Linked DNA regions of Coturnix japonica. The protein of the gene in region 1 interacts with the protein of each later gene in a biochemical or structural test. Links are inferred from orthologs where the notes say so. Each region holds a gene or a part of one and is shown on either strand. Other genes may lie near its edges.

What was found. The genes of interacting proteins can lie anywhere in the genome.
Region 2: of the proteins of MCM2 (region 1) and DBF4, one has a biochemical effect on the other in vitro, tested with the Homo sapiens proteins (3 studies listed by BioGRID). The link is inferred for Coturnix japonica from reciprocal best matches to the Homo sapiens genes MCM2 and DBF4.
Region 3: of the proteins of MCM2 (region 1) and CDC7, one has a biochemical effect on the other in vitro, tested with the Homo sapiens proteins (8 studies listed by BioGRID). The link is inferred for Coturnix japonica from reciprocal best matches to the Homo sapiens genes MCM2 and CDC7.

Annotation. Positions count from the first base shown.
Region 1 is NC_029527.1:7,356,249-7,366,464, reverse strand, and holds the end of MCM2 (DNA replication licensing factor MCM2), read left to right. Parts: coding exon 1-166; intron 167-1,148; coding exon 1,149-1,242; intron 1,243-1,859; coding exon 1,860-2,110; intron 2,111-2,359; coding exon 2,360-2,486; intron 2,487-2,687; coding exon 2,688-2,800; intron 2,801-2,906; coding exon 2,907-3,149; intron 3,150-3,880; coding exon 3,881-4,063; intron 4,064-4,993; coding exon 4,994-5,149; intron 5,150-5,737; coding exon 5,738-5,848; 3' UTR 5,849-6,799; downstream 6,800-10,216. UniProt on the Homo sapiens protein: Acts as a component of the MCM2-7 complex (MCM complex) which is the replicative helicase essential for 'once per cell cycle' DNA replication initiation and elongation in eukaryotic cells.
Region 2 is NC_029517.1:18,962,827-18,972,529, reverse strand, and holds the end of DBF4 (protein DBF4 homolog A), read right to left. Parts: intron 9,302-9,703; coding exon 9,271-9,301; intron 9,042-9,270; coding exon 8,996-9,041; intron 7,584-8,995; coding exon 7,452-7,583; intron 5,049-7,451; coding exon 4,931-5,048; intron 3,733-4,930; coding exon 3,608-3,732; intron 2,802-3,607; coding exon 1,748-2,801; 3' UTR 1,589-1,747; downstream 1-1,588. UniProt on the Homo sapiens protein: Regulatory subunit for CDC7 which activates its kinase activity thereby playing a central role in DNA replication and cell proliferation. Required for progression of S phase.
Region 3 is NC_029523.1:12,576,697-12,586,912, forward strand, and holds the end of CDC7 (cell division cycle 7-related protein kinase), read right to left. Parts: intron 9,264-10,216; coding exon 9,181-9,263; intron 6,331-9,180; coding exon 6,181-6,330; intron 5,290-6,180; coding exon 4,913-5,289; 3' UTR 4,146-4,912; downstream 1-4,145. UniProt on the Homo sapiens protein: Kinase involved in initiation of DNA replication. Phosphorylates critical substrates that regulate the G1/S phase transition and initiation of DNA replication, such as MCM proteins and CLASPIN.

The DNA of each region.
Region 1 (10,216 bases):
CTATGATGGCTCTTTGAACACTGCCAATGGGTTCCCAGTGTTTGCAACTGTGATCCTGGCCAACCACATTGCCAAGAAGGACAACAAGCTGGCTGTCGGGGAGCTGACTGATGAGGATGTGAAAATGCTTATGGCTCTGTCCAAGGATGAGCAAATTGGGGAGAAGGTGAGTCTGTCGCTAATACACCCTTCTTTTCCTGCTGAGAGCCAGCCATCATCTGGCAGTTGGATCAGAAGGAGATATGAGGTGTCATCTAAGCTGAACACTGGGTGCTCTTCTGACTCTCCTTTCCTTGCCCTTCTGGAGATCAAATTTTCTGTTTCTCCCCTTCGTCTGATGCTCCACCTAGCTGCAGGGCTGAAAGATGGGTGAGATGTGAGGATACTGCTTCTATTTGATCATTAGTTTATTTTGCTGTATTCTGAAAGCAAACAGCAAGGAAGGGTTCCAGTGCTTGCAGAACTGATTCTATTGAGGAGATGTTATTACCTAGCTAAGCTGTGCTGGAGATCTTAGTCTGTCTCTGCATGCTGAAACCTGAATACAGTACTCTGAAAAAGGCTTCTGGACTGGTGCATGTTCAACCTCACTTGACTTGAGTTTAAACTCTCCAGTGTGGAGACTTCACTCTGTTGCCTTGGCTGCACAGTTTTTAATAATGACTGTGTTGTTTCTGGTGGGTAGAGTAGCTCCATTTTAAGTCAGGACTGTTTTAAAATCAGTAGTGTCCAGCATCAGGCTATTATCAGAATACGCATGAGATAATAAGCCTATTGTTCATTGTATTTGATCATGATTCACATGTAACACAGCCGATTCAACGACTGTCATGTGCAGTAAGTAGGTCACAAACTGAATCAAGGTCTCACACTTTGCAACAGGTGATAACAACCACTATGGTGTGCAGCTGGAGTCTGGAGGCAGTGGCTGCTGCTTCCAGCACTAATCTTTACATTCTCCTGTGATCAACTTTTTGATCTGGGTTGATAATTGCCTTTGGAGAATCCTCCTCAGCAGGGACAATAAGACTCTTTGGAGACAGCTCTATAGTAGTGGCAACCATAGATGAATCCAGGCTGGTTTTCTTGCTACTTTCTGCCCAGGATGGGAAATGTTACTCACTAGATAACTCTGCTTTTCCTTTCAGATTTTTGCCAGCATTGCCCCATCTATTTATGGGCATGAAGATATCAAGAGGGGTTTGGCTTTAGCTCTGTTTGGCGGAGAGCCCAAAAACCCAGGTGAGTGTAGCATGTTGCAGAGGACTGATCCAATGGATCTGGGTTTGTCAGTGCTGTTGCAGTGAGTGGATAGAGTTGTCTGTGTTTCTTGGTGACAATGAACTGACTGAGGGAAATCTCTGATTGAAGTGGCTGTTCTATCGCACTGAAAACTGGTGTGAGAGTAGAAAAGCAAGGACTGAAAGCAGCTCCTGCTGCAAGCCTAGGCGTGATTTTATTTCCCTTCCTCTAGAAAGTCGGATTTGATGCCCCTTTAAAGGTTTGATCTGTTGGTGTCCTGATTTGTTACCATTTTAAAAGAATGCATTCAGCAGGGTTAGAAATGCTTTTTTTATGCTCAGTTTAAAATGCTGCAGTGGAAAGGAAAAAGCTCTGCTTTATTCCCACTGCTTATGTGCTGCTATATTTGATCCTTCAGTACTTTTGGTTCTCCTTGGTGTTCTAAACCGTAACAAAATCTGACAACAGTTATGTCTGATTTCCCTCAACTTTCCTGTAAAGCAGTTTCTCTGCATATTCTGCCTTCCCTTCAGCTTTGTGTGGTATTCAGGGTAGGGCTGCTATCAAGCCTTGTGTAGATGACTGAGCTACTTGTGTGTCTCCTGTTACTGTTGTAGGTGGCAAACATAAAGTCCGTGGGGACATCAACGTGCTTCTGTGTGGAGACCCTGGTACTGCAAAGTCACAGTTTCTTAAGTACATAGAGAAGGTGTCTAGCAGGGCCATCTTCACCACTGGCCAGGGTGCTTCAGCTGTGGGTCTCACAGCTTATGTCCAGAGGCACCCAGTCAGCAAAGAGTGGACTTTGGAAGCAGGAGCCCTCGTGCTGGCTGACAGAGGCATCTGCCTGATTGATGAATTTGACAAGGTGAGTCCCAGCTGCATCTCTCTGGGAAAGCAGAGCTGTGGAGGGGCTGGCCATAATCTCTGTGATGAGGACTTGTGATAACTTGGGGTTCTATCTGCCAGCAGACTGGGCTTCCTGCAGTTTGTTTAGGCCCTTGCTGGTCTGCATAGTACAGTTTGCTATCTCTTCAGAGTGTAAAGCTAATGCAAGCTAATTCCCCTTGGTGCACTGGGCAACACTGACTTGAAGTGACTCATTGCTTTCTTGTAGATGAACGACCAGGACAGGACCAGCATACACGAAGCCATGGAACAGCAAAGTATTTCCATCTCCAAAGCAGGCATTGTTACATCCTTACAGGCTCGCTGCACTGTAATTGCTGCTGCCAATCCCATAGGTAAGTGCTGAGAGCCACAGGAGTACTCACGTCTCCATATCAGTCCTGCTGTCTCAAGCACTATGGTGCAGCTTCCCTTTCTTCCAGTCTGGAACACAAATCAAGCAAGCAGTAAAGGCTGTCTGTGAAGTAGATCGATGTTTACCTCAAAGCTTCAGCCCTGAAGCCTCTGGTTGATGTTCAGGTTTGTCTCTGCTCCAGGTGGTCGATACGATCCATCATTGACTTTCTCAGAGAACGTAGACCTGACAGAGCCCATCATCTCTCGATTCGATATTCTGTGTGTGGTTAGAGACACGGTGGACCCTGTGCAGGTAAAATCATGCTGTGAATGTGCCTGTGCTGGGCTGTTAGGATGCTCAGCTAGTTTTGCTGTCTAGTGGGTGTCTTCACTTCTTTTACTACGCTGTTCTTTTGTAGGATGAAATGCTTGCCCGGTTTGTTGTTGGCAGCCATGTCAAGCACCACCCAGGTAGCAAGGAGGCAGTGAATGGAGATGCCAGTGAGGTTATTCTTCCCAATACATATGGGGTGGAACCCATTCCCCAGGAGATCCTGAGGAAATACATCGTCTATGCCAAAGAGAAGGTCCACCCCAAACTCAACCAGATGGACCAGGACAAGGTGGCTCGGATGTACAGTGACCTCAGGAAAGAGTCCATGGTAAGAATACTGAGGAAAAAGGGGGAATAAGTGTGTATCCAGACTGCAAGTCAGCCTGTGACTGCTCCAGCGTATGTTGACATGTTCTAGCTATTCATTTCACAAGAGTCTGTGCCACTTCTTTTTGTGAGAGACGGGCAGATTCTACAGTATCAGGCTGAACAGATGATTCTTCAGTTAGATGCAGGGTCTTGCTTGTAGATGATACATAGTGTGATGGACTGGATGCATATACTAGGGTCTGCCAGAGCAGAGCCTTTTCGTTGTGACCCAGTCTGGCAGGCCCACAGGAGATGTTTGCATTCACTCAGATCCATGTGCTTTTGCTGTTACAAGGAGCTGTTCTCTGTAGAAACATCCTCTTTTATCTGGGATTTATAAGGCTCATTTCACCCTCCCCAGTGTGGAATTTTTTGAGGTCAGACTTCATGAGCATGGGAAATTTTTTAATTGAGGATTGCTGCTCCTGGAAAGCCACTAAATGCTGATAAAGAGGGACCCTGTGTAGCATTCCCTCTTGTTCTACCAAATTAAAATGTAAATATTGGAATCTGTACCACACTGTGCAAGATATGCCAGCAGATGGCAGAGCCTACTTAGCTTTACACAGTCCTTAGGGATCCAAGCACCATCTCCTGCAGTGCAAAGGAGGTCCTGACCCAGAAACCACCATTCTTACCCTGTGTCTTCTGTCCTTCACTAAGGAGTTTCTCCCTCCTCTCCCTCCTTAGGCAACTGGCAGCATCCCCATCACAGTGCGGCACATTGAGTCCATGATTCGGATGGCTGAGGCTCATGCCCGTATGCACTTGAGAGATTATGTGGTGGAGGATGATGTCAACATGGCCATCCGGGTGATGCTGGAGAGTTTCATTGACACGCAGAAGTTCAGTGTCATGCGGAGCATGCGCAAGGTGGGTACAACCCTCTGGGTTGAGCTGCAGCCCTTTTGTTTGCCCTGGCTGATGGAAGAGGATTCTGTGTGCTCTGTAGGAGTCTGTCCTACACAGACAGGTGTTATGCCTGTGCAAATAGAGAACTGTGAGTCTGAAGGTACTGCTGCCTTTCTCTGGTCTGTAGCAGGGCATGTAAGGGTTCTCCTAGCAGTGTTGTTCTGTCAGGGCTGAGATAACAGTGAGAATAGATGTGTCCCAAGCCTCTGTATCCAAAACACTGCTGTGTTCCTTGTTTTGCCACTTTTTCTCCTGTTTTGGCCCAGCACTTCCACTGCTGTCACAGCCAGTGGCTGTTTCTCTGCAGTTTTTCTAGAACTTCTCAGGGGATGGATAATCCCAGCGCAGCTCACACTGTGGTTCAGTGAGAGGCTGCCCTTTGAGTGGCAGGGCCTGGCTCTGAACAGCTCTTGGCCAGCCGTAGCCTGGCATCTATCCACAGAGTGCCTGCCCTCAGTCTGGGCGACTCGTGGCCTCTCTTCAGCTGCTAATTGCCAGCCTGACATGAGAGTCTGCAGGGCACAGGGCAGTCTGGGTTAAGGGATACTGCCCTACCCTTCCCCAAGGGCAGCAAACCTCCGTAGTGGTGGTACCCTATCAGCCCCTGGGAGGCTTCATGGCTGCTGCTGAGATCTCTTCAGAGATTTTGTATGGGTGTCAGCAGCTAGCAGAAATGTCTTGTATAATACAGAGCTGTGTTGTTACTGCATGTGCAGGTGGCAGCTTGGCAAGGCTGAAATCCCTTAGGAGACTCTAAGTGCAGGTGACAGTGGTGTCATTTGATTCCCCTTGTGCTCTGTAGGAGAAGGGATGGTTGATTTTGGGTATGGGAGACCCGCAGTGCGGCATTGGGTTCCTGATCCTCATGGTTTGTCTCATCCTCCTTTCCAGACATTCTCCCGCTACCTTTCCTTCAAGCGAGACAACAATGAGCTGCTGTTGTTCATCCTGAAGCAGCTGGTTGCAGAGCAGGTGATGTACCAGAGAAACCGCTATGGGGCCCAGCAGGACACCATAGAAGTCCTAGAGAAGGATCTGGTGGATAAGGTATGAGCTTATTCTAGTAAGCCTTCTGTAGGCTTGGTTCCTGCTTTGTGTTAGCAGCCTCAAACTGAGGTGTTCTCATGGCATATATCTTCCCAAGTCCATATACCAGATAAACCCAGTGTTACACAATTCAACCCAAAACAAGGACTGTTTCATTTGTCTCTACTCCTGTCTTGCCCAGGAGTACCATATTCTTCCTTCTCAGTCTTCATGCACCCCCATAAAGCTTCGAGGCTGAAGTGTTAAATCCTGACCACACCCTGTCAGAGATACTACATGACTGCCTCTCACTGGGTGAGCTCTGGGATAAGAGCTAGGTTTAAATAGGTATGCTTTTCCTCCAGTGGAAGTAAAAGGACAGACTGAGAGCAGGCAGATGCTGAGCCAGCATCCTCTCTTCACTCAGCTGAGCTCTGCCAATGCTCTATTCTCCTGACCTGCAGTCTCCCCTGGTACTGCAGTTCTGGTTCCTGCTGAGCAGAGATTGCTGACTGACAAATTTTGCTTGCCCTCTGCTGTGGAAAACCACATGGTGCTTATTTTTCTGAATAAGCATTTACCTCTCTCCCTGCTCTGTCCTCTTCCCAGGCTCGGCAGATCAACATCCACAACCTCTCTGCCTTCTATGACAGCGAGGTGTTCAAGATGAACAGGTTCAGCCGTGATGTGAAGCGGAAGCTGATCGTCCAGCAATTCTGAGGCTGGCAGCAGAGCCCACCATGTGCAAAATGAAACCTTTGTGCTTCTGCCCACCTGGCTGTGCTACAGAGCTCACAATCCAGAGGGACTAAGCTACATGTTCTCTCGCTTGCTTTGTGCCTTATGGATTAAGGAACTGCTGAGCTGCTGAAGATATTGTAAATAGAATAGAATTAAGTAGTTAAATGCCCAGCCAACTCTGTTTAGCAGTTTTACTCACTGTTCTGCTTTATAGCTGAGACCAACAGGGAGAGAATTGCTGGCCACGTAGATGGTATGTTTGCTGTTTATTTATCCCTAGTTGTTAAGACCTCATCTGCTGGAGGGATGAGTGGGAGCATTTGAAAGGCATTTGCCTGCCTTATCCATGCCCTATGGTTGCAAGCACCTTCAGGGATTCTTTTTTCCCATCTCTGGTGACTGCAGCCCTCTGAGTGATAATTGAAACTGCTTTCAGCTCCCTGTGAACAAGCCAGCTGCTCAGCTCCAGGCCTTTGCACCTGACACTTCACATTTCCCCAGGTGCCCACATGGGCTGACCTGCTTGGTTTCTGCATGTGAAAGGGAAGGGGCAGAGGAAGATGAGAAATGAAATAAAGCTTTTATAATAAAAACATTTATAATAATAGGGGTGGCATGAATGGGCAGTGGAAGTGTCTTCCAAACATGCAGGGGCAGTATCCAGAAGCATCAGGGAAAGGGTTTCCCCTGACTCAGTTGGTGATAGCTCAGCACAGCTGTCAGCTGATGTGAATCTACAGCTCTATCTGAGTGCTGGCACCTGAACTGAGCAGCACCTCGTATCCTTTTATTCAGATTTTATCTAGATATTTTGAAGAGTAGCAGTAGAGAAGCCGTGAGTTGGAGAAATTAAGGGGAGGGTAAGATGTGGTGATAATTCATATGCAATTTTCTTACTCTGTGCATTTTAATACAATTTGTTTTCCAATACTTTTGTGTTTCCTTTCTCCTTTTCTTTTAAAGTCCTTCAGTTATAGTGTGGAGGTAGAGCATAGCTACGCAACCTGAAGCTGCACCAGCTGCTCAGCAGTTTGCTGGTGGGTTATGGCCTGGGTACATACATCCTGTGGTCTCCAAGTTGGTGGGCATTGCTCATGCAAACAGAGGGAGATGAGTCCTGCCTGTAGTGGTTTCAGCTATTGCATCTCCTCCTTGGGGGTAGATACCAAGACATGACCGTGCACAGCACAGCCACATAAGCTGCCATTCCCTCCCAGCTCTAACCTGGAGTTTTGATCCCACTGTGGGACTCTGTCCCTTAAATGCTGCTGTCACCTCAAGACTGTTCTAGAACAGCACTTATCTGCCACCTTGGCTGGCACTTGGGGATACCAGTCTAGGAGAAACAGTCAAACTTCTCCAGGGTTTACTGAAGTGAATGTGCTTTTTCTGGTTGGATGTGGGGACTGTACAGCATCTCCAGCCTCCTCCTGCCTGTGCTCAGGAGAATTTGTAAGCTGGCTGCTGCAATTTGGTGTTGGCTGAGCAGACACGTCCCTAGCTGCCAGCATTGTGGAGTTTTGTCATGGTGATGTGTGTGTGTGTGTCCCCTCTCAGCCTGGTTGTTGTTCAGGAGCTTGAACCCTGCTGGGGGCCTAGCACATGACTCTCATCTGAAACTGGCTCAGTGTGTTGCCTTTTCTGTCTGCCAGCTCCCTCCTGTGTATTTGTTTAACTGTTTTGGCTGGCTTTTTCCCTTCCCACTGGGTCTCCGTCTACCAGGGCTTTCTGCAGGCAGCCTTCAGAGTCACTTTCCTGGCATGCCCTCCTTGCCTGATCTTGCCCTTTGCTCTCTGAATGTGAGCTTGTGTCAGATCTGTGGTGGGGATAGCAGTGCAGCTGTGAGCCTGGAGACATGGAGTAAGGAAAGCCAGAGTGGCTCCTGAGCCCTGGGCACAGCTATATTAGCACCTCATCTAATGCCAGGGGCCAGGCACAGGGGCAGTCCCTGGGGAGAGCAACTTCACTCACTGCCTCATCTTGAATCTTCACTACAAAGATAGATATGCCTTTCTACCTTGTGTTGCCAGCATCCAGCAGAGCAATGAATTTTTGCAGCTGTGCCCTTGCTAATGTTGACATGAGCCGCTCAGTGGAGTGTTAATGCCAGTCTGAAGGCATGTTCCTCCTCTCACGGCCACTGAGCTTTCCAGGTTCCCTGGAGCAAACTTGGGCTGTTGACAGCATCAGGTGTCTGGTCTGGATGGGGGTGCAGACGGGTGAAAATAGATGCTGCTTTAAGCAGGGGCTGCCTTGCCAGGGGGCATGTTCCAGCTGAGTGTAGCAAGGATTTTCCTGCAGGGCTCTGGAGATATCTAGCCAAGCCACACATGAAACGAGTTGCTCCCCAGACAACCCTGAGTGTAGTCAATCTTGAGCACTTCTTGCTGCTGAGATTTGGATGCTGCACGCTGCCTCTGACCACCTGTGGCAAAAGCAATGTTCTGGGGAGGTGAGGTTGGTCCACAGCAGTTTGTGTCTGGGCACAGATGGAAAGGTGATGGGCTTGCTGTCCGCAAAGCAGGCGGAGCTCTGTGATGCCAGGCAGCATCCCTTTTAATCAGATAGGATTGGAAGAACATCTTGATTCGAAAAGGGCACAATGGGTCAGATCCTGATCCAGTTTAATTTGAACATGCTGTGTTCATGCTCCTGAGGGAACAGCATGGCTCTGCATCTCATAAAAAACTGTTAGTCCTCAGCCCAGTGTGGAGCATTCTGCCTAGATGGAGTATAAGCCTGATCCTTGTGGGTCCCCTGGGACTCAGGATGTTCTGTGATATATACAAATACATACGCTGTATCTGCAGGTGCCTTCAGATAGCCAGCTAATTTGTTAGGGTATGCAAGATGGAAAAAAGGGGAGTTAGAAATCCTTCCTCCTTCTTGCAAGCCCTTTCCTTCTTACTGAAAAGGTTTAGAATCTTGGGAGCTTCTGCCTTTACTGCTACATTTGCAGGTCCTGAGTTGTATCCCATGTACTAGCATCTGTTTGTGAGTCTGCTTGTCAAATGGCAGATGCCCTCCAAGAACAGGAAATTTTACTTCCATTACATTGTATTTTTTTTTCCCCAAATCAATGCCAAAGCCACTTGGAAAGAATAGCACGTACATCATTTCTAGACCAGCATTATTTCAATTTCTCTTATAGCAGACATTGGCTGGAACTTTATCTGTCCATCTCCTGTGTGCTCACTGAAGAGCTGGCTAGAAGCTGGTTATCAAGAACTTTCACAGCACAGCAGAGCTCAAGATAAAGTGGCAATACTGGATAGTGTTACCTTGTCCTAGAGCAGACCAACCAGCTGCAGTTGAGCCAGGAGATTCATTTCTTGTGCTTATGGCTCTGTCTTTGTTCACCACAGCTGATCTGGTCAGGTGAATTCCAGCGTGCAATTGCAGAGCTATTAATACAGTATGGGAATACGTATAAGAAAGTTCTATATCTACAGTTGCAGGCAAGTAGACTGCTACCTCTTGTGCTATGCTGCATGGGGAATGCGCTCCATACTTCCTAGTGTTTTTCCATCCCCTGAGATACTACACCACTTAACAATGTAGAACCAAAATTGGATCAGACTTCTGCTGTATTTTGTATCTATTATGCAGTTCATGCTGCCGTGACTGATTTAATGTCTCCATTATCATGGAGCACTGGTCTGCCAATGACTCCAGCCATCCAGCACAGTCCTCAGCCATAACTAAATGTCTTCAGGGAGCCTCAAGGGGCTGCTGAGCACTGCATCTTTAGAGCAAAGGCTCCTTGGAAGCAGGCTGTGCTGCTTTCCGCTCATCTCACAAGGCACTCCCCTCTAAAGGAAAGGAGAAGTGGGTTATGGGGGAAACCTAGAGAAGCTGCCAGCTTCTCTTCTGGGTTGTTTGGTGCTCAGGGAGACTTGAAAATAACAGTTCTGCATAAAAGATGTAGAAGATCTTCAGTCTCATCAAACCATGCAGAAACACAGCTGTAGGAGTGCCAGCAGTCCCCATAAGACAGTGCATGTTTATTCCCGGGGTCAACAAATACTAGCCTTCTTCAGATGCAGGTTGCTCCCTCTGCCCTGCAGTTGATTACATCCCAGCTTAGCCAACTGCTATGGAACTGCTATGGACTTTCTCTCAAAGAAACACTGAGCTTTCCAGTTTAGCAAGGAAAAGCATAACCTATGAAGTATAACCTCTGAACTACTCAGGGCTTCTTCCAGAGAAGACACTTTGTTCACTGAGGGTCCAGCACTCCCTCTAAATGCTATCTCAGGTTCCTGTACAAGGAAGAAAAGCCAGTGGGATCTGGGCATCGAGAGTGCTAGTAGGCCTTCATTACCCTGAATAGCATCATCTGGGTTC
Region 2 (9,703 bases), on another chromosome or scaffold:
TTCGATCACTTTAAAATGAAGCAGCATCTATTCTACCCAAATGTTAAAGGTTTCACTCCTTTGCAACAGTAAAAAAATGTGTGCTTTGCAGGAATTTTGTATTCCTGCTCTCTGTATGTAGGTGTTCACTGCAGGCAGCATGGGAACATGGGACTGAGTTTCTGTAATCACCACAACAAAAATAAGAGGAGAAATTAGAATCTTAACAATCGCTTTTGTGTGTTTATAATATAATATAATATAAAAGCTACCTGCAGCAGCCGATCAGATACACCAATAGCACAACAGATCCAAAAATGAAATCAGTAGAAATTTGTTTAGCGATTAGGAAGGAATTCAAACTGCCATTATATGTGCACTTACTACAAAGATTGACGTCCAGATAAAATGCATTTCTAAATGCTAAACCTTTACTTTAGCAACTTAGTTGTCCTTGTGGCAGTGTTTGACACCTCAGAATCCCTGCCATACATCCTGTAAATACATGTTTTTCTACCGAATTGGAAGTCAAAGACAAACATTCTAATAACTTGCTGCCCCTGTTTAGGTCTTTCAAAGAGTATTAATGCTTATTAAGTTTGGAAGGAAAACACTTGGAAAGATAAACATATGGGAAATTACACACAATCTCATTCCTCCCTGCACACCAAGAATCTTCACCTACCCCTCACTGTAAACACCATATACCAAAGGGCAAACTACTCTAAACAACTGCAGAACACAGCTTAATTGTAAGGAACACTAACAGAGTGACAGTGTTAAATGGGTATATTAATCATGTATTTACACTTTCATTCAAAAAATAATGAGAGTAATTTCTGCTAGTTTAGCTCCTAGCTTGTAAAACCTTAAGGCACTTACATTTATTAACAAAGTTTCACAACTACCCCCATCCCAATTCAATACTCACGCCCTGCACTGATTTACAAACATGGAAATCCTGAAAGAGATCAGCTCTGGTGAAGACTCAAAGTATTAAGAAGTTCTTCCAGTTCCCACCATGTCCCTCATTGTGCCTCCAACCAGCCCAGTCAGCCAGGCTGGCCAAGTGGAAAGCAAAAAAAAACAAACCAGAGGCCCAAGCTGTTCAGAAACCTATAGGATGTTTTGAGTTTGCTAGTGCTGCCTTTACAACACATAACTAGTTTTATCTAAGAATAAACGATAGCAGAGCAGCTGAAGAACCCAGCATACGCTCTTCTGATGTTATATCTTTGTGACTGCATCAACTCCCCACCTCAAACAACATCAGCAGAAGAGAACTTCAGAAAGCAAGTCACGTGTTGTTTTTTTTTGCATTCCCTGGTGAAGTAGTAGCAGAAGGAATATGAGAAGCAAACAAACCTCCACAAATCATCAGGGGTTCGTAAGTAATGGGCTGTCTTATTTACAGCAAACCCCCCAATAATTTATAATGTGGTTATTTAGAATGTACTGTGTTCAGTGTGCCCAATGACTCTCAAAAAATACCCAACCCAAAAGCAGCTATATAACGCTTACTGATTCTGCCAAGCAATTAATAAAACCCACAATCCAGTGGTCTGAACCCTTTACTAGCTGTAGTAAAGCAGTAGCTTTTAAGAAAAAGAAAACCCTTAGTAAGTTTTATTCATATTTACACACATAGAAGTTTTTGCATTAAAAAACCCTTGAAAATGAATTCATCTGTACATAACAAGAATATTTCCAAGAATAAAATCTTAAATCCACAATTTATTTGAAAAACACTGTATTAAATAAAGCAGCATTAAAATCCAAAGAACGAGGATGAGGATGAAGAGGAAAATAATGAACCAACAACATTTGTGTTCCACCCTTCCCATACATCTTCTGTGCCAGTAGAATCTTCATGATCAGTGTAAACCGAAAAACCTTTGAATTCAGATTTTATTTCACTTGTCTGAAACAATTCCAGCAGGGTCTGCACTGGTGAGCTACAAGCCCTTTTCTCACTGGGGTCAGACAGTCCATCTGCGTACTTCACGCATAACTCTATATTCTGTTTCCGGCTTTCTCTTCTATTTCTTCCTAAGCAAAGCTTTACTTTCCTGTGCAGCTTTCCAGATGGTGAGCAGTGTGCAGTGTTGGCAGCCAATTCATTAAGTTCTTTGTTTATAGCAGACTCGGATACCTCAGCCTCCACAACTGCATTGTGCTGCATCTGTTGATGGTTATCGCATAAATCACGATGTTTCTCGACACACGTAGGATTGGCATCTGTTTTTTTCAAACATTTTGCTGGTAGAACTACTGCATGATTTAATTTTCGTTTGGGCTGTGCTGAGTTTTTGTCTTTTTCACTAAAATCTGTAACTTGAGTGTGAGAATATAAAGTACACGCACCTTCCTGAAAACGCTGTAAACACTTTTTATTTACTTCTGCTTCGAGTGTTTCTTTACTGAATGGCTCAAAATCTTGATGGAAGTTCTCCATACACGATTTACCATCTTTCTGAGGAAGTGGTTGTATGAAATTTGGTGACTGTCCTGGGTTTGTGGCACAGAAGCAATCAGTTCTTGTATTTTCACCATTATTACCGAATTTACTTCTTTCTTCTGGAGGCTGAGACAGATGACAATAAAGAATTGAACACAGAGATGCAGAAATAGGGGGAGGCACTAGCACAGAATTTGGTTGTACTTCTGTAGGCTGACGATCCAGTCTGAGTGCCTGCATTGCAGTATCTTTCCACAAGTAGGTTTTCAATGAAACGCGTTGCTTTTTGAGTCGTTCTTTCAGCTCATCTGGTCTCGTTATCTTCCCAATTATAGGAGAAAAATATCCTGTACTACATTTTATCCTACAATTAAATTGTTTATGATGATTAACAATCAAATGGTTGGAAGAAAGTAACATAATTCATTACGCAAACAGACCTAGAAAAGCAACTAAACTGACGAAGCAATTTTTGTTCTTTGCATTCAAAAGAAAGTTAGGATAGAAATATTACTTCTGCTGGAACAGAGTACCTTGTATTTGAATTCAACGTTTTACTATTGATTTCTACATCTCATGAAGCTGTTTGAAAAATACACAAAGGTAAGCAGTCTAGTATTTCAGTAAGCTTCAGTCACAGTGCTACTAAGTACAAAAGTTAATGAATGCAAAGCAATGACAAATACCTGTAAATATTTTACTGTGTATACACACAAGCTTAGCTCAATTATATATTTTTTCCCCCAGGATAACATTATAGATTGCAGACAATAACCTAGACTACATGTTAAAGAGATCAGATTGACTGAGGAGGTTATTATTTGTTCGTCTCAGGCTACTAAGAACATCAGAAAGTTTTTAGAGCAGACATCCAGGCACAGCTGTCCTTCCGTCAGCTTTATCTTAGAGTGGTTGACAACTTGCTTTTCTGAAAGTTACGAATAGGTTGAACAACTCCTGTAAAGTCTCCTTAGCCCCATATTCCTGTGATACAATACTCACTAGTAGTTTTTCCTTCTAATTTCGGAAACTACTGCATTGCAAGTTCCAGTGATGTTCATCAGAATGAAAACTATGAATTTGCTCCATACCAGGTTCAGAATTTTGTAACTAAAGTATCTTTAATGTCTTAATTAACAGCAGTTTTAAAATTAAGAATGTGCAACTTACCTTTTCATGTTTTTCTCATCATCCCTGTATTCAACAAACTCATTAACGAACTTGGAGATTATATCATCAACAATTTGGTACTGTGAGCTTCGTGCAAAGTTCTGGTGCTGTTCACTTTCAAGATGCTGGAATTAAAAGGTAATAAGAGTAATGTTACAAATGAATACATAAATCAATATTCTGACATGGAGCAATAAGTAAATACTGACAATTTATTGTTGCTGGAATAGAATAGTTCCATTTCAAAGGGATTCACAAAGATCACCGAGTCCAGCTGTCAGACTACATCAAGGCCAACTTGAAGCCAGAAAAAATCACTAAGAGCATTATTCAAATGCCACTTAAACACAGATAGGCATGAGGCATCAACCACCCCCCTGGGAAGCCTGTTCAGGTGCCCAATTGCACTTTTGGTAAAAAAATGAAATATATATTTTCTTAATCTCAACTCTGAATACTCCCCATGACACCTTTGAGCCACTGCTCCACACACTGTCAGTAGATACCAGAGAGAAAAGATGAGCACCTTTCCCTCCACCTCCCATGTTCAGGAAGTTAAAGACAGTAATAAGATCATTCCTTAACCTCCTTTTCTCCCAGCTTCACAAACCTAGCATCTTCCTCATTGCACCTAGCCCTTTTAACCAGATTTGCTGCCCTTCCTGGGATCTTAGTAACCTTTTTGAACTGTGCAGCCTAGAACAGCACAAAATAATCCAGGTGAGGCCACATTAATATTAAATATATCAGAATAATCACTTCTTTTAACCATCTGGCTATGCTGTGTTTAATGCACCCCAAAGTGCAGTTTGCTCTCTCTGCTGCTGGGGCACAACGCTGGTACACGCTGAGCCAACTGCCAACCAGAACCTCACCTGCCAGACAGATACGGTCACATTCACTACAGCCCCTTAAGCCAGTTCTTCACCCAGTGCACTGCATACTTATTTGCCTCATAACTGGAAAATTTGTCCCAAAAAATACCACGAAGAACAGTATAATCAGTCTTGCTAATATCCAGAAAAACCACATTCAACACATTCTCTTCATCCACTAAACAGGTGATCTTAAAATCAGTGTCTCTGAGACAAGAACCATTAATGCTTTCAGCCACCATACCCAGAGGCAGCAAAACAAAACCTGAAATAGAAAATGAAAAAAAAAAACCTTTACTTGCTGCTTTTTAGGAAATACACTCAACAGGCCTTTTAGAATTAAATAAAATAATAAGATAAGACAAAAATTAGAACAGCAAATAGAAATTGTTGATTCTACTGTTTTAAAGACGGTTTGAAAACAGTGTATTTCATGTTCCACACGTACAGTTTGTAGATCTTCATATTTCTTCCCACAGCATTCACAATATCCTCTCCTTTTTTTGTCCTTCTGATGAAGCTGAACAAGAGTTCTACAGTCCTTGTCACTATTTATTTTGTTTCTGCTAAAGAAAAGATATAAATTAATGAGCACTACACGTAAGAGCTGAGTTCTATAAATGCCTCCTACAAAACATTCCTTTTCACTCTTATCATTTAAAGCAAAAGAACATCTTCATTTCTTCTCAGACTACTTAGACCACCTCAGTTACTGCTCAGGAAAATTAGAATAGAAATTAATGCACTCAAAAAAATAATAAACAAATTACTGCAACAAAACAGGCATGTCCACTGGAACTACACACGTGAATAAAACATCCGGGTTAGTACAGATATAATATCACTGACTCAGATTAAGCAATGCTGAACTTATAAAACAAATCTGACTTGTCAAATCAAAGGATTTGTTGAAATTTCTTTGTATAGCTGGTAAAAGGAGGTTTGATAAAATCAAAACTGGGGAAAAAAAAGAAAAACATCTTCTAGCATCTCATCTCCTGTCGTTATTTTTGATAAAGTATTTGGTATAAAAGATGACCTTTCATTCTTCAATAAAAGGTAAATAATACTCCTATTTGTTGGTTATATGCAGCTTTTGAACATGTTGATGTTCAAAAGTTCATGTTGATCAAAAATCATCATGATGTTCATGAAATTCAAGGAAATGAACCATAAGTTCTTCCAGAAAATTAAACCACAAAGAAGCTTTCAATATCTGTCCCATGACCTTCAGTGTCCTTATCTGGGCAGAGCTACCATTTGTTGCAATTCACTACCAAGCTACCCTCCAGCACAGCAAAATCATCAGTTCCTAATTTCATTTTACTTCAAGAGAACAGTGCCACCTCCCTGTCTAGTCAAAAATCGTATTGCCAGACTCCACCAAGTATCTGCATAGATGTTTATATAAAGACCAACCAAGCATTTGTTCAGATTCCAGAGTCCACTTTTAATACTGCACTAGCTTTTTTGCTTCTACCCTTAGGAATGTAAAAACCTACTTAGAACCACTTAAGGCTTGCAAACAACAAGAGAAAAGAGACAGAATTTATTATCTGAAACGTGAATGATTGCAATCTTTCTGCGTATAAAGCAAGTAAAACTGACATCATCTTCCACATACCACTATTTCAGATAAAGATAAAACAAGCAATCATTCTCACTTTTTCTTTCTTTAGAAACAATGACAGTCATCACTTTTAGCTGCTGGCTATGAAATAAATAAAACCCCACCTAAACATCTCTGGCATGTGACAGATTGAAAGATTAATGACAAATATTAATTTGAACACAATTCCTGAAACAGAACTAACGCACTGTATTTCTTAATCTATACATATGAAATGACTATTGTACTCTTCATTTTAAAAAGCGTTTAAAGAGAACAGGCTGTCCTAAGGCCCCTTTGAAGAGACACCATCAGAAACACACTGCTTAGTGCAAAGGTTACTGCACTAGTACGTTGCTACATTCATTTATCACTGTAACATCACCTGAAAACTTCCAAGAGTCTAATAATAGTTTAGACTGGACAAAATCTGGACAACACAGGAACAATTTATAGAGAAAACAAGTATCACACCTAAATAAGTTTTAGATTCAAAGGTCAGAACAGCAGCTAAAGTTACCAGACACAGAAATTTTCATGTAAATCAAAGCTGCTTTTCACCTAAATGTTTTAGCCTCTGCTATGAATCAGTTATTGAAGTCAAACAGACATTTGTAGTCTCCATATATGCAAGAAAAAAGAAATCAAGGACACCAGATTCCCCCAATAAAAGAAAAATCATATTTGAAAGTTGTTTCAAATCATAAAATTGATTTATCAAATGTCTTAACTGCAACCGCAGCACTCAGAGCCTGAATGTCAAACCATATCACATAAACACTTACTGAATGACAAACTAACTGCAACTAGTATCTGGTTTTCATCTCTGAAGCAATGAAGCAACATTTGCAATGTTCTCATTTCCATAAATTTAATTGTGCATGTAAGGAAGATACGCTCCTTAACAGCAATGATTTTGCAATATAACTGAATATCACTTTTAACAATTTTTAAGTGCTTTCCTTTTAGCTTTTTACTGACAAACATCACAGGAAATCTTAAGAAATACACTTCTTATAAAATACTTACTGGATGGCATCCAAGATGTGGACAAAGAAAAAAAACAGTGACAGAAAGGAAAAAAAAATCTTTTATGCTGACCCACAATGATAGGAAAATGCTGCATTTTTGGATGTATGCATTTGTGTGCCCCAAAAAAGAACTAAAGGCAGGATAAAGAGGGTACAGATGGACAGAAACAGTCACAGTGTAGCAAATGCAACAGTCCAGATGTAGAAATTAGTATTAAATATCACAGAAATAAGAGGCAGAAGAATTTTTAGAAAATAATTGTTTTACAATTGTTTTAGAGAACTTCTCTCTCCACTGTATACAGTGCAAAAATGCATGACAGACAAACCTTTGCTTAGACTGATTCTGTTTTTGACTGGAAGGATGCTTCTTATCCACCTCAAACGGACTACAAGGTTTTGGAACACAGAAGTTGAGAGCTGGAAAACTCGGTAACTGCAGATAGAAGGGTCTGTAGGAGCTGTGTTAAGACAAAACAGGTGCATTAGAAGCATCAAAACAACCAAACAGTAGTTTATACTACAAACTATAAATAGGTCAAAAGGTCTTTGAAAACAAGCTTCTCTTTCACATGTAATGTACAAAAAAATGCTATGCAGATAAATAACCTAGGAAAAGTAATTTCTTTCTTCCTTCCTCGATACCTCCTCAAAATAAAAAGTTTGCCTTGAGTTTTCAGAGCTGTCAAGCACATTCCACAACTATGGCTGTCTTTAATGCAGTAGGTTGTGGAGATCTGCACAACCAATACAATTAACAGCAATTTGGATGAAAGTAGATCCATGTTCCTGAGATACAGCAGTTCCTACCTCAAAATTTTATTTTATTTTTTTCATTTTATCAGTTTCTCCCTTTTTGAAAGGCTTCCAATTCATCATTAAAAACATTTTAAAAACTGAACAATAAATTCCCAAGGAAGCAGTTTTTTCCTGCACAGAAACATACATAGAGAGATAATAAAACTAGCAAGTACACCAGCACTCGCATGTATTAGAAGTGTCTGAAAAAGGTAATGACAAAATTCATATAATTAAATCACTTGCTACAATCTTCAGAATCCAATATGAAATTAAAATTCACACGTCTCTACATTTTGTGCTTGAAAATGCACTTGTCCCACTCTCCCCACTGCTCTCATACCCATCACACCAATTCTTACCAGCACACAGTATAATACTAGATTCAAAATTCCCACTCATGTTGCTATAGTTCATTTTTACTCCCAGCTTCTGGCAACCTCTTTACTTATTGAGGAGTTACAACATCAGATCCAATCGGTTACAAGCTCAGAAAAATGCAAAAATTGTCAAGTCTGAAAGTATCAGATCTTATGATCCAACAGATAATGAAATCATATTAGCAGTTGTGTTGTTGTTGTATTTTTAAGTAATAAATCACTGAAGCATAAATTCAGCATAATTCCAAGGAATGTTTTAAGGCATAATGACTTCTTTTAAAGTCTCTCAAGACGAACACTAAGAGTTAGAACTACTATTTAATATAGAAACCTTTATTAGCCTTTTTGGCTACATGAATTGGATCTAAAAACAGGCAAGATGTCAGGTTTAAAGTTTCCAGCCTTCCTCCTTTTAATTCATCTGGCTCTAAGAAGAAAATAATGCAGACCAATCCCCCTCTCCTGATCTATAAATTGCTATACATTAACTTTTCATTGCTACTACCCATCACAAACATTTCCCATCATACTAACACCTCTTTCACTTCATTCACAGGCTAAACATGGATACCTACCCAGACCACACAGAGACTGAACAGTATGTCTTGCCCTTAAAGTCAGTAGACCATCAAGCCATACTACTTTCCTGAATCTCTCAGTTTGAGAACTACATTGAAAGCACACAGAACACTCACCGACTTCTATCTTCCACCTTCACAAATGGATTTTTCAGTCTACCTGCTCAAGGTAGGAAAAAAAGGAAATTAAAAGAGAAATATTTTTGTTTAGCGAGTTTACTAGTTGTTGAACAGATAGGCATTATTTTAGAACTCATTATGTACGTGCTTTGACAAACACAATTTTCAAGACACTTCCTTAGACCTACAAGTTAGAAGACAGTTTTATATTTGATCCATTTATAAGCATTCAGAAAGTTCAGCAAAACCTCTACAAATACTGAAGTACTTACTTTTGGACTTTTGTGCAGGAACTTGTTTTCCCTGTTGAAAAAAAAAAAAAAAAAAAAAAAGGGAAAACAGAATTCCTGTGAATATTATATTTCACATTTTATCTCAGTACTTGATTTTAACTCATGAGGGTCTCCCTATGACAATCATGACTTATTTACCGGAGTTGTGGTAAATTTGGTAGAAATCAAGCTCGTCAGGAAATAAATACAGTCCTGTTTCCTAAAGCAGCACTTATTTATACGCTGCAAAAACAACTGATGTCATTGAGGTGATGGTCTTAAAATCAATTCATAAAATGTACTAGTCAGTGAAAAACAGAACGTGAGAAGGACTTGATAAAATAAAATCTGTATGCATCACAGTAGGCCATATTTAATATGCCTGCCTTCTATCATTTAATCACATTAGCTTTTACAAATGGCTAAAACCCAC
Region 3 (10,216 bases), on another chromosome or scaffold:
TGTGCTTACACTTCTTTGGCATGGGCTTCTAATGGAGGGGGATGTTTTTGTTTTTCTGAGTGTTTTACTTCACAAGGTTATGCTTAGGAAGCACTTTTCAACCAAGACAGAGATTCTTTTCCCTAGCCTGCCTCCCCATAAAGGGCTGAGATGTAGGCATGCGGTCCCAAAACTTGTGCTCTGTTTCTTTCCTTTCATACACATTTTCAGAGCAGGGAACTTTGGGTGCCCCAGCCTCAAAGAGATCTTCAGCTTGTTCGTGAGTTCCTGGTCTGGACAGCCAGGGCTGGGACCTCAGGACTTCTGGGTGTATGTTAGACCATTGTAGGGAGATAGCAGACAGCATCACTGCTGTTAGTTCACTGTCAGATGCTTTAGTGCATTCAGTAATGTGCAGGTGCATAGGCTGATCAGTATTCCTTCAGTTACCTGGGGGGGACTCTGTCTATGAGAACCTGCAGTAGGCTTGTTCCTTCCTACCGCTCTAAGCTATGGAAACAAACAGCTCTTCCTCTTATACTGAACTTTATCTCAGTTTCATTTAGATGCTGCTTTTGTCTACTTTCTGCTTGTTACCTACTTGGATTCTTCCTGTACTCATACTGATCGTTAGCTGGATTAGTTCATGTATGCATATTTTATATATCATTCTATAACAAATATCTGACTTAAAAACTCACTTGACCTAGCTGTTGTGATAGCAGGGGCAAAGCAAATCTTTCAGTCCTCTTTGAGGAATAGCAGCACCTGAAAATCTGTGGAGGAAATCACATTCTTGTTGTGACACTGATAGGAAATCAGCAAACCACTGACAGGAAATTGCTCCACCTGAATCAGTGAGCTCTCCTAATTCTCTGATTGCCACAGCAAGTTTGCAAAGAGTTGATGACGATCTTAGGAGTTGTTAAAGATTTGACTTAAAGATCTTGTGTTTAGGTCTGGGGTATTTAATTGCATATTACGGATTTAATAAATGCATTTTCAGGGAGGACCACGTAGAAGTCAAAGGAAAGGGGAAGGAAAAAGCAACCATTTTTACTGCTGTTATAAAGACTTCCTCCTGAACCAATAGAAATCAGGCCTGGATCACACTGTCTTCCTTGTCATTTACCAGCAGGAGTTGGCTACGTGGTGTGGATCAAGGGAACAGTCACCCTAGTGTGGGAGCACAGGCCAGCAGGAAGATCTCACTCCCTTGGAGCTGGGGACGTTAATGGCTGCTGAGGTTTGTTTGATGGGAGTTTGAATTTATTGCAGTATCTGTTAGCATCCATCTTTCAGTTCTTTGCCTGTTTTGATAAGCAAAAAATCCTGTACTGTTGCAGTCAGCTCTGCTCCTCCTGATAAATAAGCTGCATATCTTTAAGAGCTATTTATTACCCTCTGTTTGTCAGTTTGGTAAACTGCAAATGATTAGTGGGAAGAGAAAGGGAGGGCTGCTGCTCCACATGGCTGCTCCCTGGGCCAGGAGGGTGGGGTGTAGTGGGGGACCCAGCATTTCCCTGCACTCTGCCCTCAGCCCTGCATGGCCACGGCAGAGCCAGACTGGAAGCTCCCCTCTGTGATTTGTAAGTGGTATAGCTACTCCTTTTGAATAATTAATACATTATATAACCAAACATTACCATTTCACAAACCACATTTATGGACAGTCAATACTTGAAGAGTAATTGTTTTGGTAGTGTTGTTTTTTTTACCCTATGTTCTATAGGCAGGCCACAGGCAGAGTGAAGCATGTCTAAAGCCAGTACAGAGTCCTAGAAGCAATACGATCACAGAAGGTATGTGGTTCAGGAGAGGGAAGTGATGTCCTTCCTACCAAATTCATTAGGGTCTAAGTTGCCTAGGAGGAGTGACTGTTGTGTGCTCTATGAAATGAATCTTCACAGGAATGTTTTATTTTATATGGCCTGAAAGAAGGCCAGAGAATGCAGTTCTGGAGCTGTGTTAGTCCAGTACGATTTCATCCATCCCCAAAATAATTTGCCAAGCTTTTTGCAGCTCTTATTCTTCTGGCTGTTTGAAGATTAACCATATTGAAGTTACAACACATCAAATTAATCAAATAGTTGATTTTAACAAAGGAAAAGAGTAGTGATCAGCAGGGAACTTGATCCTTTCCTCTCTGAGAATGGGCTGTCAGTGAATATTCAGTACACTGTGGGTTTTTTTTTACAAGAACAACTGGGGGAAATACCTATAAATTTAAACTACATGTTACTTTACTCATGGTAAATGTGGCTCAGATTACAGAGCCAGTTGCAAGCAGACCAGCAATGGAAAACATAAGCCAAAATACACACACAGGGAATCCCAGCAGGTGAAAACTGCTTAGCTGTAAGCTTCACACAAGACTAATCTGCACTGCATGAATTGTCCGTGATCAATTATCTCAATGAAATCCATAACAAAAAGTGCTAGAGGAACAAAGCCACCCCAGTCTGAGTGTCTCACCTTCCTACACTAAGATACCCTTTTGGAAATGAAAGGAGCCCTGTGAGGAGCTAAGGCAGCTCATGGAAATGGGTTGGATATCAGAGGGCAGAATAGATCCTTGGAGAGTTTTGAAAGCAAGTTTGAGACGACTTTCATAGCTAGATAAGGATGTGTTGGAGGAAAACTGTGTTTACTACTCCAGTGAGTAGTAAAATTAATTTTAGGTGATAAGAGTTTGAAAAGAAAATAAATAATTTGAAAAGGGACCCACTGCAACTTTGATAGATAAATATTGAGTAATGTCTCAGGAAACAGTCTTTGCTATGAGCCTACCAACAGATACAATATTGTTTTGTTGTGGAATAAGAATATATGAAGCCATAGAAGACATGAATTTCATTTTAAATGCTGTCATTCTCTTAAGTGCCTTCAGTGCTTAGTTATTTTCTCCCTTCAGGTCTCCCTGTTCAGAACCCATTGCATTTAACATTTTACCTCTAGTTTTTATGCTTTCATAGTGTTCCAGAATCAGCACTTAGTAGTCATGTATCTTATCAAGCATTTTTTTTTTCGCTTTATCCCTCTCCCAGGGAACGTCTCATGTTTTAAATAAATAGCTATCGGGAGGAAGAATAGCAATGCTTTCTTCTAGCTTGTTACCAAATAATCTAAGCTTAGAAGTGTTACTTTCAGAATTTTATTTACCCCCAATAACAGTAAAAGCACCATCAGCAGTGATATACCTGCTTTGATTAGTAAACTTAAGTGGCGGTTAATGATGCAGTGCCTGCTGCAAGGAGCTGCTCAGTGCAGTGGTGAGCAGGAGGGCTGACAAAGCCGAAGTGATTTAGCTCACAATAGATAGCTGGCACTTTTTTCCGTCAGCTAGTGCTCTCATAAGAGCACAGGCGGCATGAGTGAACGTAGGAGGAAACAATACATCTGCAGACACTGGCAGACAGCATCACTTGCCAAATTTGGCTATGGTTGCTCTAGATAAATAATTTCTCAGTGACATGCTGGGTTGAAATTAAACAGCATAAGTTATTAAGACCTGGGCCCCAGAGTGTTGTGGGTTTCTTTCTGACACCCACCATCAGTACTCGGACATCTACAAATATTTTTCTCTATCAGCTGATGGCAGGGACAGGGCAATATTACCATCACTTTGTATGTATTGGAGATTTTGAATGTACTGAAATAATTGCCCTTCAGCCACAGCATTGGTCATGATGTAACAACCAGCTTCTCTGCAAAGGCTTATATAAAAGTTATCAGAGCAGTGATCTTTTCCTGGAGTGGCTGTAACCATTTATAGCAACAACCACACGAACGTTTCAAGAAATGTAATTGGAAAAACACTGTATTAAATTTCAGTCTCCAAAAGTATCGTGGGTTTCTAGAGAGGCAAATGCTGAGAATAACATGACTAACTGTGCAATGAATTCATGAGGCTAGAGGGTACTGGGAAGGGGGGGATTCCTACTTATGACCAGACATTAGCTTGCTTCTAAGGTGAGGTAGTAAGATTTCCTTGATAATTAAGATACTTCCGCTGTGACAGCAATATATACCAGTGCTGTCTGAAAAGCATCATACATCACTGAGGAATTTATGCAGAAAAGAAAGCTGCATAATTCTTCCTGAACAGAAGTATCCCACAGGGAAACCTTACCTAACTATTTTTATAGAATCATCTCCAGACACGCTTCTGAAGGTATAAAAACAAACCCTTTATTTAAAAGATGTTCTGCGAAAATCAGTTTCCGTAACAGAAATCAAACATATACGTGTCACACAAGACATTCTGAAGGCAACAGTTGTTGTGTATTTACAGCTAACAGTGGCATTGAAGAAATACAGGCTATGCAAGATGACTAACTGCATTTATCACTGTTGCTTAAGTAGGAAGGAACAGACAGGATTAAAAAAAAAAAAGAACTTTTAAAAGAGTGATGTTTTTGTTTTGATGACAAAACCGGCACTATCTGCCCCTGTTCCAGCAACAATCCCAAAGTAAAGCTGTTCTCCAAAAACCACCTGAACAAAATCAGTGCACTTCAGTCTCCCAGGTATTAACTGGGAGCAAAGCGGGGGTGTGCAATTATGGAAAAAAGGCTCTCGAGCACTTTTTCATTTCAGTCATACCTTAATGCAAATTTCTGTTTTGAGAGAGTATCAAAGAATTAACCTTAGTGTGAGAAACTCTACAGTTTTAAATCACAGTTAATTTTCTTAGGCACTGTAACAACACCTCAAAAGCATCTTAGGATTTGACTGCGTTAGTAATGTTTATGTAATATTGACATCTGTAAGCTTCCTTTAAGAAGTTGCACTTGCAGTCCACCTGTGAGGCAATTTCAGTAGTGCTGTGCACAGTGTAATGGTACTTCAATGAGTTTAAGGGCAATGGATTAAAACTCCTTCAGTATCTCACTTTCACATAAAACGTACAAGAGCAGAACAAGGCGTCTTCTCATAGCCTCATGTCTTTAAAAAAGGGATGCAGCAAAGCATCTTTTGCAGTTATTCTTGTTGCAGGGTTTAAGTCTAGTAGCTTATCAAGTAGGTCATATGCTTCATCAGGAACCTGATCCCATCCTTTCATGTCTGTTGCCTTATCTTCTGAAGCACCGTCATCTTCCTGACAGCTCTTTAAGTGTTGAGTTTCTTTTCTGAGTATCTCAGGAGCACATTGTTTGTCTACTTCAACTGGCAAAGCTGAGTCGTCTCCAGATTTGCAGGGCACATCGCAGTGGGATCTGTTACAGCTGCTATTTGTTCCTCTCAGCTTCTCGCAGAGAGTTCGTAAGTTTTGTGCTGGGACAACCTGGGTACACAGAACTGATTTCCCTAGGAGAAAAACAGGTTTTACAGTCAGTGACGTTTTATTTTGCTTGCTCTACAACTACAACTTTTAAGTTTGTTTCAGAGAAATTTCACGTATTGAAGCATAACTAACATTAGTTCAAAAATAATTAAAAAAAAAACCAAACAAACTGGCCATGTTTTACAGTAAGGGCCCCCAAAAGCCAGCAGTAGCTCTGCTCAGAACAGAACTGTGCTTTTTCATGAAGTTATGAGTTGACAAATCGTCACACAGCATCATTTTCCATTTCACTCTCATCTTAACAGAACTGCAAATTAAAAACCCAGTTCAGTTTATTGCTTATGTTATTGATTTATACACCTCCGTCTGGAGAATTAAAATCGATGCTGTCATTTATACTTCCAGGTACCAAGTGCTTTAATGTTTGGCTTGCAGGCAATGAGGAAAATGGTTGTTTATGTTTTTGTGCTTGCCCGTCGTGAAGTTGGACAAAAATGCAAAGTTTGCATCATGTAAATATTAAGTCAATGCAACTTAAGGCTCTGTGGCAAATTTTGCAGGAATAAACATTACTTCAAGAATTCTAAGAAGTAGGAAAGTTTTAGCTGGCATATTTCACCTCAAGTGGCCCTGACTCTCTGAAAGGCAGCAAAGTTAAGAAATCCACAGAATGAATTACTCCATGTAAAAAATTATAAAAGACAGAAAATTAGAAAGCTTTCCTAAACCTCCGTACATATAGATAAGTAGTGTTAGTTTGCATGCAAGAAGGGTGACTTAACTCTAAAGTGACTCCCAAAGTTAAAATTTTGTTTAAAATAAACGCAAGTCACAACTAGATTGTAAATCATTGCATTAAACAGCAGACCAGGCATACATTTTTCCCCTTCTCCCCATAATTAAGGTTTGCATACCAAAAGTTTTAGCAGCCTGAATGGTTTCTCGAGATCCACGAACTGTCATGATTTGTGCCAAAGCAGTTAAATCATCGCTTGCTTTGTAAAATGGATACCGTCCACTGAGCAGAGAAAGGAATACAATTCCTGCAGACCACATGTCAATTGCTGCAATAGAAAGCAAGCTTAGTAACAAGTAACTGAGTAAAACAAGTAAAATTTCATCAAAAGCAAAATCCCGAATTCTTTAAATTACAACCGGAAGTGTAGTTATCAGAGAAGGTAATGTTCTGAATTACTTACAGGCTGCGGTCACAATGATAACACTTCAGCAAACAGTGTAAATGGATATACTTGCAAATAGAATCAGATGACTGCTTTTCTACAGAGCCTATAGAATTGTCTATAGGATTTCTCACATGAGTAATTTCATTAATTTGCTTTAAAAAAATGCACTGAAACAATGTTTGAAGTTATTCTGACCAGGGAGCTGAGAGGGGAAAAATAGCTAGTTTTGATACTACATTAAGTTTGCTTAGACTGAGAAAACTTTATATAAAAGTTCATGAATAAAAAGTAATTCAGGATTGAATGTAAATCTTACCTCTTTTGGACTGAGGTTGCCAGTTAGGCGTACTAAAAGGTTTGTTTTACTACAAACTTGGTTGCTCTCTAATATGAAACCACTTGATGAGATTGTTTAAGAGCTGTAACAGTTATTCATCACTTTCATTGTGTTATGAAGAGTACAGGGAGTTCTCTGATGGTAGAAGCCAAAGCATGATGGAAACTTTAATACCGAAAGTTATGGGAATACCTGGCTGCTGTAATTTTTTCTGTGAAGTTGCACATTTTGAGAGATGGCAAGGAAAGTGAAGGAGAGAGTTTGAAGGACTCTCTAATTCCAAAGAGAGAAATTAACTTGGGAAATAAAGCTATAGTCATCCTGCACATCTTCCAGAAATAGGCAGTAAAATGTGCAGTAATTGAGTCTGACATTTTAGCTAGAAACACTATCGGCAAAGAGCTCTGAAAATACTAAGTTGATCTACAAACAAACAGGTTTTTAAGTCTTATAAAAATCAAAATCCAAATTATTTGTGGGTATAACAATTCAGTGTGCAAAAATGTTGCGTCTTATTTTTATTGAAAAAGTTTTAGTAGTACTGTATTGATGTTGACCACACCACCTGCTTATGGTGTTACGCATCACCCTTAGTATGTGGTTGGGAAAGACAGTCATTAAGGTGAAGGCTTTTAGAGATGTTTATCTAGCTCTTCCTGATATTGTCAGACAATTAGATACTGAAATGACAAGCATGTCCTCCAGTTCTGATAGGGCTGGCATCTTCAGCAGACTGAGAGGTCTTGTGCAATGACATCAAAATCACGATTCCTCTCTGTGCATTTGCCTAGTGGTTAGTATCCAGCTAGAGAGGGATGCCATCTTAACGGGAAACTAAGGAACAAATCAAGTTAAAAATTGTAACTGGATCTGCTTAGGGCCAAGTTGTAGGTTTGGGTTGTGTTCTCTGTGCTTTAAACATGGCTCAGTTACTTAAGGTAGCTCTGGACAGCCAGCTGGATCCAGCTGATAACTTGGTCCTGGCACAAAGACCAAAACTAGTAGCAAGATTGGCAGGAGTACAAGGAGGTGACTACAGCAGTCCCAGATGTTATTGGGTAAGGAGATTTGTTAGCTCAAGTACAGCATTATCTCTATTAGTATTACTCTACCCGGTTCTAATGAAGCACTTTGTTGACGTATTACAGAAGCTTTGCACCACTGACTCAGTACCTTTAGGGCCACACCCAAGGGTTTCCAGATCTACCCATATTTTCTGTAGTCCTGCCCTCCATTACCCTAGAGAACAGAGAACTGTCTGAAAGCACACTTAAGACAACCCTCTGTCCAAGATTTCTTAAGTATGTCTTCTTTCTGCATAAATTCTGTCTAGACGGATTCAGGGATTGTCTAAACTTATCCTGGATTTCTGGATGTTTTCTAGCTCATAAAGCTGGCTGTTACTGCACAGGCACGGTGACTCCAAGTAGGCTGCCATACCTCTTGAAATCCCAGCCATGCCCACAACACAGATCCTGCCTCAAATAGCATTAAGCTATCAATTGATATGCTGATCAAACGTATTGTAAGGCTGCTCTGAGTGTGTATGAGAACTTTCAAATGCTGTAAATTGACTATATGCTCACAAAGTGCTAAGCAAAAAGATGGCTATAAACTTATTTTAAATACAAATTCTGAGAACATTTGTATTTATCCTTCATTTTCATAATCAAAACTTCTGGTCATACGTGACACATTGAACTTTGTATCAGCCCTCTAATTCTTCATGTATGCACAGCTTCTCCCAGCCTACTTGCATCACCTACGGCATTAATCATCCCTTAGTTCTTCTCCAATATTTACCAGGCTACTGAAACATGTAGGTTTTAGCCCTGAGAAACTAAAAATCTTAGTAAGAAAAAATCATGACATTTACAGATCATCTATTTAAAGCATTAGCAAAAAGGAAAAAAAAAAATCCAGTGAAAAGTCCCAATTAACTGACACACATCATAAAAAACATAAAAAACTGCACTGATACAATTAGTTATGCCCAAGACAGCAAAATACACGTGTCAAACTGTCTAGAAAGCATACCCCTCTAAGATTTATTTAAGATTTTTCTTGAATAAATAAGCCAGTGAGCCAAGAAACTTGATAAAACTTACAACTTTGTTTTCTTTTAAAACACGTGCTATTGAACTCCTGCGTATGGCAGTACCCCTCAAAGGGATACAGACATTCAAATTTCAAACATGGGAAAATATTCCTCGATCCTTCTTATTCGGAGTAATTAACTTCAAATTAAATTTGGGAAATGGTTCATAAATGTTAGAAGGGATAAGAAAATGAATTTCATGTGTAACAGCCTGGTATACAAAAGATAAAGTCAATGCGTAAGTGACAGGTTTAAGAAAAAGAAAGGCATTTAGTTTTTGTCTGCTATGTTGTACCTGTTGTCTGAGTGGGGCACTTTGTCAGTACTTCTGGTGCTCTGAATCCAGGTGTTCCTGCTCTGGGAGCAACTTGCTGACACCTTGTAGTAAGAGACAAATATGTTCAGAATATCCATATTGAGAAATAAATTCTAATTATAACAATATCTACTATTTTTACAATATACTTTTGTGAGATATGTAAATCTGCCCTATTCAGTTTTTATGTCTGAAATATCTTACAATTACCTAACATATAATTATTACTTCATATGAAATAACCTTATTATAATTACCTATTATATTACTGATCTTGTTATAATGTGTAGAAGGAGTATTTACTGCATATTTCAGTCACAATATTTTCAGTTTTATTCAATGACAACACGTGTTTTCATAGGGAACTTTCAAGTTAAGACTAATTAACCAATGGTAAAAAATGCATTAGTTTCTTGGGTGTGCACAGTATGGCTTTTTATTAATCCAGAGCAAACTAAGATTCACTATTTCTGAGTGTTGACAAGAATTTACTTCTTGTTAGATTAACTAAAAAGTGTGAGATCGTTATTAAAAATGTATAGAAGGTCCAAAGTGCTTTCTGTCTGCAGGCCAAGTTTCTTGAGTCTAGCAAATTCCCCATGTTTCATTTCTGAACTGACTTTGATAACATCATATTTTGACAGTCAGGAAAGAGAAGTACCACAGTTTCATGACTACGCCTACCAAGCAGATTTCTCTGCAGGAATTTCTGTTCCCTAAGTGGACAGGAAAGGTAAGGGTAGATCATAGCCAAAATGAACTACAAAGGACTGGATTTGAACTGAGTTATTTAGACTCTCTGGCCTATCCACTATTAAAATGTTTCAAATTGAGAAATGCAGCACTGTTATCTTCCCCTTTTATTCTACATTTCATGATTTCCAGAATACAGACAGCCTGGGGAATGTATTTAGCCTTAAGTTCTCAGAAAGCAAGAGTCCAATCACTGAATTTCAATGCAGTTGGCATAATTTAGGCCTATTAGATCAATGACAGATTATTTTCTACTCTTGTT